Linked DNA regions of Sus scrofa. The protein of the gene in region 3 purifies or fractionates together with the protein of the main gene of each other region. This does not show direct contact. Links are inferred from orthologs where the notes say so. Each region holds a gene or a part of one and is shown on either strand. Other genes may lie near its edges.

Evidence for each region.
Region 1: the proteins of RPRD1B (region 3) and POLR2F purify together in Homo sapiens (affinity purification with mass spectrometry; 4 studies listed by BioGRID and IntAct, counting the BioPlex papers as one, with this or other methods). This does not show direct contact. The link is inferred for Sus scrofa from reciprocal best matches to the Homo sapiens genes RPRD1B and POLR2F.
Region 2: the proteins of RPRD1B (region 3) and POLR2M purify together in Homo sapiens (affinity purification with mass spectrometry; 3 studies listed by BioGRID and IntAct, counting the BioPlex papers as one, with this or other methods). This does not show direct contact. The link is inferred for Sus scrofa from reciprocal best matches to the Homo sapiens genes RPRD1B and POLR2M.

The regions. Positions count from the first base shown.
Region 1 is NC_010447.5:9,914,812-9,918,980, reverse strand, and holds the start of POLR2F (DNA-directed RNA polymerases I, II, and III subunit RPABC2), read left to right. Parts: upstream 1-1,259; 5' UTR 1,260-1,371; coding exon 1,372-1,391; intron 1,392-3,075; coding exon 3,076-3,145; intron 3,146-4,169. Other genes in the region: C5H22orf23 (UPF0193 protein EVG1), read right to left, coding at 635-938. UniProt on the Homo sapiens protein: DNA-dependent RNA polymerase catalyzes the transcription of DNA into RNA using the four ribonucleoside triphosphates as substrates.
Region 2 is NC_010443.5:114,263,959-114,268,192, reverse strand, and holds the start of POLR2M (protein GRINL1A), read left to right. Parts: upstream 1-1,330; 5' UTR 1,331-1,489; coding exon 1,490-1,602; intron 1,603-1,663; exon of another isoform or gene 1,664-1,785; coding exon of another isoform or gene 1,786-1,865; intron 1,866-3,564; coding exon 3,565-4,209; intron 4,210-4,234.
Region 3 is NC_010459.5:41,121,441-41,125,084, forward strand, and holds part of RPRD1B (regulation of nuclear pre-mRNA domain-containing protein 1B), read left to right. Parts: intron 1-437; coding exon 438-564; intron 565-3,644. UniProt on the Homo sapiens protein: Interacts with phosphorylated C-terminal heptapeptide repeat domain (CTD) of the largest RNA polymerase II subunit POLR2A, and participates in dephosphorylation of the CTD by RPAP2. Transcriptional regulator which enhances expression of CCND1.

The DNA.
Region 1 (4,169 bases), on a different chromosome or scaffold from region 3:
ATGAACAAGCAGTCATTAAGCATGTGCCAGGGGCTGGAGTTACAATTGCGAGCCAAAACAGGCACCGTGTCCTGATGGGAGTTCATGAACTAGAAGGGCAGATGGATGTTAATTCAACATGAATTCATAGGGACACACAAGGTATCTGACTACAGGTTACGCTAAGCCCAGTGAAGGAAAAGGCACTGGGAGTGTGTGGGCACCTAACGGTTGGTTGCACTGTGTTGGTGGTGGGTGGGGAGGAAATAAGGCTTCTCTGGAGAAATTGAAAGTGTGATATAGTATGTGTCACTGGGTCACCATGCTGTACAGTAGGAAAAAAAAAATTGTATTGGGGAAATAACAATTACAAAAAAAAAGAATAACCAAAAAAAAAAAAGTGTGATATAAGGGATGCATAGCAGTTAACTACTCTAAAATTCGTGAGTTCTTTGACTTTTGGCCACTTTCGAGTTGCAGGACCCCCAAACTTTCCTGAACCCCAGGCTTCTTATCTGAAAAATGAAAACAGCAATTGCAAGCCATAAGTCATGCAGGTGAGAACTGAGTTACAGAGGTTAACAGTGACTACCGCTCTCCTTTTGTCCTTTCATGCACTGACACCACCGCCCCGCCCCGCCCGACCACCACTGACCTCTGAGCAGCTCGCAGGTTCTTGGGGTGTAAGCGGCCGGCTTGGGGCAGCGCCAGAAGCCAGTTCCTTTGGTCACAGTCTCCACCCTCTCCTGGGAAGCCATGGGAGGGCTCTGAGGAGGGAAAAACGCGACGACACACCCCCTGTCTCCCATATACAACCTCTGCTTCCGCATCCCCAACACCACCCAAAGTTTGGGTCTGGCGGGGGCGGGGCCCGCAAGAGAATCGTGACGCCGCCCATCAATATCGCGACAGTGCCCAATCCTCCCACCCGGAACAGATCCACTGGCAGATACACACATGCGAACAGAGACCTCATCCAGACCCGGCGCCTGTGGCAGGGAAGCCACCTCTGGAGGAAAGGGGCGTTAGGGTAACCTTGCCCGTTGTGTGATAGACCCAAACGGAAACCTCACTCTTAGGTAAGACTCCGGCTGGGTGCCCACTGAGAGTGGCCGCTAGGCTCTGAAGGAGCACCCGCGCCGGAGCCCTGCAGGAATGCTTTTGAGATCTCCGCTGCTCAAGCTCTGGTTATACACTCTGGCTACCATGGTAACAAGCTCTAGCTTCTCGGCGCGTGCGCACTATCGCCCTGCCGATCCTCCCGGAAGCAATTGCCTCTAGGTCACAGCGCAGGCGCAGAGTGCGCGTGGCGCAGCTCGTGGCGGAGGCGCGCAGTTTGCGGGTCTCCGCGCGACTCTTAGCGCAGAACCAGGGAGCTGCGGCGCGGGCGTCATGTCTGACAACGAGGACAAGTGAGTGCGGGAGCAAAGTGAGCTTTGCCGAGCCTGGTCAAAGGAGGTTAAGGAGCCGTTAACCGAGGGGCAATGCGTGAGGGGACTGGGGGTATTGAGGGGCCCGCGGAGCTGAAGAAGGGAAAGGCGGGGGGACCAGGAGCTTAGACCTGGTCACAGGCTGGGCCAAGAAAAGCCCCAGTTTGAGGATCCGGAGAGAATCAGTGAACGTGGTATCTTTCCACAAACTTTCACGGAGTCGGGCTCTGTCTCTTGATTTGGAATTACTGAGGTGAATTAGGCATAGCTCCTGCTCTTCAGGTAGGGGGCCCTTTCTAGAAAAGGGGACAGGCCCACAGACGGATACTGCAGGGGTCGTGTGAATTGCACGAAGTATGTAAAAGAAACCCAGCGGAGGGTCTGGGGAGACTTGAGGTGGTAAAAGTCTGGGAGGCTTGCGGTAATCCAGGAAAAAAAAAGGAGTGACTTGTACTAGGTAATCGTAGTAGAGGTAGTGAGAAGTGGTTTTGATTTCTGGGTTTATTTTGAAGCTAGAACCGGAAAGATTCCCTGAATGTGTGGAGGAGAGACAAAAATAGAGGCGTCTTTAGCATAAGAGTATTAGTCAAAGCTAAGAGAGGGGGCGATCATGGGGAGGCGGCAGGGGGGTGGGTGGTCAGTAGAGAAGAGGAGATGAATGAGCGTCAGAGCATCCTAACTGTGGAGTGCCTGGAGGGAAGAGAAGCTGAGAAAGAGCCACTGTGAGGCGGGGGAACACCAAGACCGCGAGGTGTCCTTTTCTTTCTTTCTTTCTTGGTCGCCCTTGTGGCATCTGGAGTTCCTGGGCCTGGGATCAGGTCCGAGCCACAGTTGTGACCTATGGCACAGCTGCAGCAGTGCTGGATCCTTAACCCACTGTGCCGGGCCAGGGCTCGAACCTGTGTCCCAGTGCTCCAGAGATGCTGCCAGTCCTGTTGCGCCGCAGCGGGAACTCCAGTGGAGAGTGTTTTGAGTGAGAGGGAGTGATTCGGTGTGCCACCTGACAGATCAGGCTAAATGAGAACAAGAATAGACCAGTGGATTTAGCAACGTGCAAATCATTGATGAACTTGAAAGGAGTGGTTTTGGTGGAGCCAAGGAGCTGAAAGTCTTTGGGAGTGAGATGATGACAGAATGTGAGGAGAAGAATTGGAAATGGCGAAGATGGACGACTCTTTCATGAATTTTTCTCCCACAGGGGGGCATGGAAATAGGGCTCTGGAGGGAATAGAAAAGGAAGCTTTGGCGTTCCTGTCATGGCTCAGTGGTTAACGAATCTGACTAGGAACCATGAGGTTGCAGGTTTGATCCCTGGCCTTGCTCAGTGGGTTAAGGATCCGGCGTTGCCATGAGCTGTGGTGTAGGTCACAGATGCGGCTTGGCTCTGGCATTGCTGTGGCTCTGGTGTAGGCTGGTGGCTACAGCTCTGATTAAACTCCTAGCCTGGGAACTTCCACGTGCCGCGGGTGTGGCCCTAGAAAAGACAAAACCAAAAGAAAAGAAAAGGAAGCTTTGTTTTAGTAAGTTGAGGACATCAAATGACTTAATAAATTATTATTATAAAATGATTTACTCAGTAAGTGCATATTTATTGAGCACCTCCTGCTTATCAGATCTATGCCCTCTTTGATTCTTGTAAGTGATGCTCTGCTTTCTTCTTGTACAGTTTTGATGGCGATGACTTTGACGATGTGGAGGAGGACGAAGGGCTAGATGACTTGGAAAATGCCGAGGAGGTAAGTGTTTAGCCTTGGGCTCTCCTCTCGGCAGCCCAAGTTGCCAGATAGCCCGGCCAGTGATGACTGAATGCATCTGCTTCTTGTCTGTAGTGAGGCCAGTTAGAGTGAGGAGAGGTCTAGTCCTGGGTGGTGGAGGTGGCCCGCAGGGTGGGCCTGAAGGATTTTGTCCACTTGGACCACAGCCTGTAGCTTCTGGGGTGGTTAGTTTACTGACAGGTGAAATATCCCCTTCATTCATTGAGCAAACATGTGTTGAATGTTTATTGTGTACCAGGAGCGCTGCAGGGTGGGGCTACATAAAGAGCAAGGGGGAGAGTGACCTGGAATAAAGCTGGAGAGGTAAGGGCCAAGGTCAGGCAGGATGTTGTAGCCTGCAGGTGGTGGGAAGCCACGGACAAGTTTTGAGCTGGGGAGTGGCATGGTCCAGTTTACACTTTAAAGGAACACTTTGGGGAGTTCCCGTGGTGGCTCAGTGGTTGCAGGTTCGATCCCTGGCCTTGCTCAGTGGGTTAAGGAGCTGGCGTTGCTGTGAGCTGTGATAGTAGGTTGCAGATGCAGCTCGGATCCTGCCTTGCTGTGGCTCTGGCGTAGGCCGGCTGCTACAGCTCTGATTAGACCCCTAGCCTGGGAACCTCCATGTGTCGCAGGAACGGCCCTAGAAAAGGCAAAAAGGCAAAAAAAAAAAAAAAAAAAAGGAATACTTTGGGGAGGAGCAACAGTAGGAGAGGCCAATTCAGGAGCTCTCACGGACCTCCAGGTGAGACCTGTAGCTGGCACTTGGGTGCTGATACTGCTGGAGATGAGAAAACGGATGCAAGAGATATTTTGGTAGATTGGATGTGGGCTGAGAAAGTGGGAGATGCCGAGGAAGACGAGTTTCTGGTGAATGAGTTACTAGCTTCATGGCTAAAGTGGGGCTTTGTGTCCTGTGTGACCGATGGATGGGGATGCTTGTGTGTTAGTTTAGGCTGGAAGCCGAAGCCTCTCCTTCAGGATTTCCTCTGCCTCGCCCTCTGGGATA
Region 2 (4,234 bases), on a different chromosome or scaffold from region 3:
GCAGGATGATGATGGTTTTGCAGGAGCTTGCCAGGGGACAGCTAACTGATAAAGGCCTTACTCAAATGTTTCTCACTTAGCCAGGGCTGGAGCAGGTTAGTGAAATCCTTGGGCTTAAAAGCAGGCCTTATGTTGAGAATGTTAATACATTAGTTAAAACTGATCAGAATGGACCAGATTACAAGGACACAAAAACGGTTTCAACTGTGCACCCTGAAGCAGTTTCCGATTTTATTTAGAGCTTCTGTCTGATTGGGAGGGAATTGCTTGTGTTTATCATATCACCTTACAAAAGACTGAGAAAATGTAAATTTTCCATATCAAAGAAGGGGGAGGCTGGTGTTGGAGGTTATGGGGTTTTTCAAACCTCCCAAGTGATGTATGCTGTGAGACTAGCATGCTTCCTACTATTTCCTTTGGGAAACAGCCCTCCTAGCTTAACTATTAAGAGAAGCTAAGCACTAGATGTGATGCTTACTGCATTGCTTTCCTCAACAGCTTAAAACACCTTCTTACAGTTTGGAAGATTTTCAAACTGGTGTGGTAGAGCAGCTGGGCTTTTGAGTTTAATATCTGGTGTTGTCACTTACTAGTTTCATGCCCTGGGAAAACTTACATCAGTTTTTGTCTGTTTTTCTGCAGGAAAATACGGAATTGTGAGAGGTTCTCAACTGGCTTGTACAGCACCTCCCACCCCATCACCTCTTGCGGGCCTTTGGAATTGTGTGTATGAGCGTGCTGGGGATGGTAGTGGGTGGGATGCGTTTGGTACTGTTATAAGGACTCAGGAGTGCTAAAGCAATTAATGCACAGAAGCCAAATACCAGATATGCAATGCCTAATTCAGTGCCGCAAAAGAAGACTCCTGCTCCAAACGCCGGAGCCTCATTAAGAAACGCTGGTAGTCCTTAAAGGTTCTTCCAACGTTAATATCTGCTAACTTCACTGAACCTCGGACTAGGCGGGCCACGCCATGGGCCGGGGCCTCCCATGCCCTATCCGGCACATTCCCCAACATTATCAATGGTAACTCATCACTCAGATTTCCTCTTGTACTTCTCAGATGCCAGGGCCCATCGTACAATTATATTGTTTGACTGTCACCTGATAAGCATCTGACCCTCTCCCCCACGCGGTAAACACCTTAACAGTTGGGAGCGGGGCACTCACCAAATACTTTCTGAATAAACAGGCGAAGAGCTGAAACTGGTAACAGACTGACCACGCCAAACATGCCCGGCCGGCGTGTGACGTCTCACCGCAACTCCCGCCTCTTCCCGCCCCTCCGGCCACCCCCTCCTCCCTGTCCGTGTTTGTTTCCGGCGTTTCAATAAAGCTCGATTCGGCTAGAAGAAGCCCTGTTCTTCCGGGAAAATGGCGACTCCCGCTCATTCGCCGGAGTCCCTGCCCGCCGCGGATCCGGCGCCCGCAGCGGGAGCTGTCGCGGACGTCGAGTGCCCGCCGCCTCGCCAGCCTCAGCTCCCGCAGAATGTCCTCGCTGCCTCGCGGCTTCGAGCCCCAACCTCCCGAGGACTTGGGTCAGCGGAGTTTGGCAGAGCTGCGGGAAACGTTGAAGCGCCAGGAGAGACTTTTGCGCAACGTGTAAGCCTGGGTCCCGCGGAGTCACCGCCGGTCTCCTTGGGTTCGGGCTAGCCGGGACGCGCCCCTCCCCTCCCCCACCCCGATCCTTTCCTCGGAAGGTGACCTTGTCACAGTCAGCTCTTTGCGAGGTCCGCGGGCGAGTAGCCGGCCTACAGCCGTAGAGCTGACCGCGTCCAGCCAGGCATGGAGCGCATGTGGGATGGCTTCCCGTGCTCCTCCTCGTTTTACGTACTCAGCTTCTGTGTCGGTTTTCCGAACGGACGGTCTGTATCCCAAATTTTTTTGCCTTTGCCCACCACCCCAGTCGTGCCCCAAACATCCTGTCAATTTCATCTCTAGATTCTCTTTTTACAGGAAGTGGGAAGAGGGGAATTAAAAAAATGGCTTATAGGCAAAGAAAGTTTGGCTAACATTTAGATGATAGAGTTAATGGAATTTAGCAGAGGATCGATATAATGAACATGATTTTTTTTTAACCTTATTTTAGCAGGTTTGTGCAGGATAGTTTTGAGGGAGTAAGAGGCAGAAGACAGTAGGAGAATATTTTCAGAGAGCCTCTCGACAAGGAGGTTTAAGAAAGTGAACTAACTATAAGGGTCATTGTAGGATTGGGAAAATTACATCAGATATGGAATAATTTGATGTGTAGTTGACAGAGACGGCTGAAGTTTCTTGCCTGTACTGGAGGCACTAGTAATAAAAATAGAAAAGTTGGGGAGGGGAGTAGATCTGAGGTTGATTTCACTTAGGGGAGCTGGGTTGATAGAAGTTGATTCTATCAGGTTAAAAACTGGAGAAGTGGTCATGAGGCTTAAGAGAGAAGAAGGATGGGAAAATAGAGGCATCCTAACTGGAGAGGGATGTTTAATAGTTAGAATTGGGGGCATGAATATAGTGTCATAAAGAGTAGAGGGCATGAGATGTAACTTTCCCTCCCCATTTATTGGGTGGCTAAAGAAAAGAAAATCAGAAAAGGAACTTCTATCACTCAGCAAAAGGGACAAGTGATCACTTGGGAGCTTCCTAGTAAAGACAACTATTTTGACTTCGTGAGAATGGTTTTTTTTTTTGGTTTTTTGTTGTTTTTTTTTTTAAGGGCCACACCATAGCATATGGAGGTTTCCAAGCAAGGTGTCAAAACAGAACTGTAGCTGCTGGCCTACAGCAACACCAGATCCGAGCCACGTCTGCAACCTACACCACAGCTCATGGTAACGCCGGTTCCTTAACCCACTCAGAGGCCAGGGATCAAACCTGCGTCCTCATGGATACTAGTCAGATTCCTTTCTGCTAAGCCACGAAGGGAGCTCTGAGAATGGGTTTTTAATCTGTAAGTGGCAAATTAACTTTTTGTTCTCCAGACTACTTTTACGCTTAAGCATCCTGAAGAGCTCTTGTCTTATATGTGGTATATCTACTGATATTTATCATTGCCTTAGGAATTACAAGTGAGCATCTTTAAAAGACAAGTACACACATTCTATTAATCCTCAGAGCAGTGGTATCATCACATATGAGGTGGCCTCTGCAAACCTTTCCTGTGCTGATGGTAAGCAAAGGAGAATGAAAATGGCAAAGAGTGTCTTAGTGTTATATAGTTTTGACCCTGCAGGTCCATCTACCTACCCTCCCCAGGAAGGTCTTGCATATCACACGTCTAAAAATTGCTAATTTGGGGGATGTCTTTTAATGAGTATCATATGCTTAAAATACTTTTGCTGAAATTCTAATTAGATGAGACACATGAGGCATATTTCCTATTCATGCAGCCACTTGTTTTTTTTTGGGGGGGGAGTATTTGGATAATGATTCTCTTATTTCATTCCTAATTGGGGCCAGTTGGAAATCAGATTTTTTACTTAAAGATCAGCTTTTCTCCCTTTGAGAATAATTCTTTGTCTTTATATCTCAAGTTTAAAAACAGGGCTCTCTCACATATGCCTGTTCTTTTCCTTTTGCCAGAAAATTCATTTGCAAATTGCCCGACAAAGGTAGAAAGATCATAGACTCTGTCGCCAAACTGAAAGCTGCCATTGAAGAACATGAAGAAGTTAGAGGGGGAAGTGACCTCTTTCATCCCGTTAATTTAGACTGTAAGTGGAGGACAAAAGCAAGTACAGTTGTTGATGTGGCAACAGATACGGCCCAGAATTCTGACCAGATACTTGATACTTCATCACTAGTTCCTGGCTGCTCCTCTATAGCTACCATCACGTCGTCTCAGACAACCTCACAGCGGGGCCTGGTCCATCCTACTCATGGAGGCAATGCTGAGGCCCCTGAGCCCGAACACTCAGTGAGCAAGTGCCCACCTTCCAGCAGCAGAGCCGCTGTGCCTTCCTCATCTGAAGCCAGTGAGCGACTCCCTCAGCATCACATTTCAAGTCAAGTAGAGGATCATTCTAGCAGCTCGGAGAACCTGTTTATTGATAGATTGCAAAGGATCACTATTACAGACCCTGGTGAACATCACTCAGAAGGAAACCCGAGTCTGGAGAACTTGACTGGCCTTTGGCGTGGGCCACAGAAGAAGCCTCATTACATGGAAGTGTTAGAAATGCGAGCAAAAAATCCTCTGCCCCTACCACATAAATTTAAAACCAATGTGTAAGTACCATCGGAAGCAGGCTTG
Region 3 (3,644 bases):
TTGTGACAATCATTTTGTAGAAAAAAATCCAAAAAAGAATTTACTCAGTCAACACACAGTTGCTAAGCATCTGATGCATTTACCTTTATTCTATATTGGAGGCCATTCTACAGTAGAAAGGCATCCTTTGAAACTAAGCAATGTGAACCAGACTCCATTTTCTTAAGCTGCTGAAAACATGTTCTTTAAAAAAAAGTTTTAACGGTTACGTGGAATTTCAATTCTGTTCTACTATGGATTTAGAAAAATCAACTCTGCATTCTCTTAGAATTCGTATCATTGACTTCAGTATATGCTCTGGGATAAGAACAAATGATTTTTTTTTTAATGTCAAGGATGATCATTTTTAGAATTTGCCTCTACTTTGTTTAACTATTTCTTTAAACCCCATGCCCCCATATATCTTAATGCATAGTGTTGTTTGTGTTTTCATTTAGACCGAAGAACTAATCAAGGCTTTGCAGGACCTGGAAAATGCTGCATCAGGGGATGCTACTGTCCGACAGAAAATTGCTTCTTTACCCCAGGAAGTACAAGACGTTTCTCTTTTGGAAAAAATAACAGGTGAGAAGGTAGTTTGGGTGAAAGATGAGGGAAGGGGGACATATCTCCAGTGCATCAAACCCCAGGACATGCTTATGTCTGCAGGTACAGACTTTCCGTGTGGCATTGGGTTCTCTGTCATCTTGGGATTTGCAAACATAACTCACATGCTGAACAAAGAAGCTGCTGGAATAGTCCAAGCTTGAATAGTGACTCTAGGAATTATTGCAGAAATGCTAGCGTGCCACAACCTGTGGTACTCAATACAACAAGTAAGGTCTGTTGAAAACACAGTGCAAATTGTGTGCGTGGGGGGCTGAGGAGGGGGAAGACGTTAAACTCATGATCCTCTTACCAGAAAAAACCTCAGTGCTGTGATTTATACACTGTACACTGACACACCCACAGAAGATAGTGCCTTCAGTGCCAAGAACTCCAGGTTTGTATTGTTAGTCATGTCATTTTTGCCCTCTTGATGATCACCCCCAATTAAACAGTTGGTATTATTCCTGCTTTATGTGAGGGCAGTTGAAAGGAAGGAATGAGGCATGAACTCATAGAGAGTGTGCTCTGTGCCAGATGCCTCTTCAGCCTAGGCTGCAGAGCCTGTGTTCTTTCCACTGCAGAAGCTTGGACCACTCCTGTCTGAGGTCCACCGTTTCTTTCCTCTAGTCTCTTGACTTGGCTCTTCACTCATTTCCTCTCTAGCCATTTAAAGGAAGTCAAGGTTTCTTATGAAATGTTTCCTTCATTCGGCAGATGTTTGAGGTGCATTGTATAGCAAGCATCTGCCCTTGGTGCCCTGCCCACATCCCCTTACAGGTTAAGTGCACCAAAGAAAATAAGGCAGAGGTGGGGTAGGTGGGCAGAGGATTACTGAAGGAGGTAGTGTTCCAAAGGTGCTCAGGGAAGGTCTTCCTGGTGAGGTGGTTCTTGATCAGAGGCCCCCTCCCCCCCAAATTAGGAAGCAGGAAGTGAGGATCAGGGAGGGAAGGAAGTGCCACTTAGGCAGAGAGAGCTGTGCGCGTGAAGACCTTCAGGCAGGGCTGTGCTTCATTGCAGAACAGCACAGAGGCCTTCTCAGTCGCGCAAGAAGCGTATTGGCTCACTCTCTGCTCCCCACCCCCGCAACAGTTACACCCACTGGATGTAACAGCTCATTGGTCCCACAGTCTGTTGATCCGTCCACCTTTTACCAGCCTTTACTCCCCTTAAGGTCTTGTTTTCTTCGTTCTTCAGCTTGGAGTCTTTATAATCACTCTCTCACACACCCTCAGTCCCTTTCGCTCTCCTTCCCCTTCACTCTGGTCTTCTGGCAAAAACCCAACTTACCTCCTGGTTAAATCCAACTTTTTTGTGGTTTCCGGGGCCACCTCATTTATTCTGTCAGTCACAATCTGCAAAATTGGAAGCAAATTAATATAAAATTAGCAGTGTACATGGTTTCATTTATCTGTTTTCACTGACTTATATGGCTTTTAAAAATTATTTATTCATTTTTATTGTATTTTATTTTTTTTGGTCTTTTTAGGGCTGCACCCCACAGTTTATGGAGGTTCCCAGGCTAGGGGCCCAATCAGAGCTGTTGTCTCCAGCCTACACCAGAGCCACAGCAAGGATCCGAGCCTCATCTGCGACCTACACCACAGCTCATGGCAACGCCAGATCCTTAACCCACTGAGTGAGGCCAGGGATTGAACCCACATCCTCATGGATACTAGTTGGGTTTGTTAACCGCTGAGCCACAACAGGAACTCTTCATTTTTATTTTTAGTTACGGTGAAATACACCTAATAAAATTTACCATTTTAACCAGTTTTAAGTGTGCATTAAGAAATGTTTAGTACATTCATGTTGTGTAGTCAATTTCCACAACTCTTCGTCTTGCAGAACTGAGGCGCTATAACATTAAATAGCAACTAATTTCCCCACCCCCAGCTCCTAGCGGTCACCATTCTTTTTTTTTTTTTGTCTTTCTAGGGCCACACCCACGGCATATGGAGGTTCCCAGGCTAGGGGTCTAATTGGAGCTGTTGCCACCAGCCTACACCATACCACAACCACAGCAACGCCAGATCCGAGCCATGCCTGCAACCTATACCACAGCTCAGGACAATGCCAGATCCTTAACCCACTGAGCGAGACCAGGGGTTGTGTTGCTTTAAGCCACCAGGTTTTCAATTCTCTTGCTGGTTTCTCCTCTTCCCCTTCACCTCTTAATTTTGAGTACTTAGTCTTCTTTCCTAGTTAGTTTCACTGACAGGTCCTTATCCTGTTTGATGACTTTAAACAACAGTTTTTATGCTAATGATTCCTTAATTTACATATCTAGTGTTGACTTCCCTTGGACGTGAGACCAATACATCTAGCCTCTTGCTTAATATTACTAGTAACCAAACTTATCTTCCCTCCAGAATTTCTCTCGTAGTCTTCCCCATCTCAGTAAATGACCCCCTCATAATTCCTGTTGGTCTGAACTAAAGCTGGTGTCTGACTCCTTGTTACCACCTCCACTGCTACTACCTCGAGCGCGTCAGCACCGCCTTCACTTGAGTTATTGCAACGGCTCCTATCTGGTCTTGCTGCTGCCTTCTAGTCCCCGAGCCATCCGTGTGTCCTCATCATAGTAACCAGAGTGATGTGTTAAAGTGGAAGTTCAGTCATGTCTCCTCTGCTCAGAACGCTCTAGTCCTATTGGCTCCTTGCCAGGCACTTTCCTCTCTAAGGGCCTTTGCACTTAGTTCTTTCTTCTGCCTGGAATGATCTTCTCACATTGACACAGGCCGTATTCTCTCAGTGAAGCCTACCCTGACCTCCTTATTTTAAAATGTCCTAATTTTTTCGCTTTTGCCTTGTTTTTCTCTAGAGTTCTTTAAGTGAGTAAAATATCATCTATTATTTCTTTTCTTCCCTGAGAATGAGAACTTGGAGGGAGAGAGTTTTTGTCCTTTGTGTTTCCTGTTGGCTTAGGGCCTAAAACGGTGTTGGACACCCACTGGGAATCCATGTATTTGTCAGACTAATGGGAAGGTTTGGGGTGTAAAAGTCTGGTGAGAGTGAGTTTAGTGACAGTGACAGGAGAGGAGGTGAGTACCGGGAGG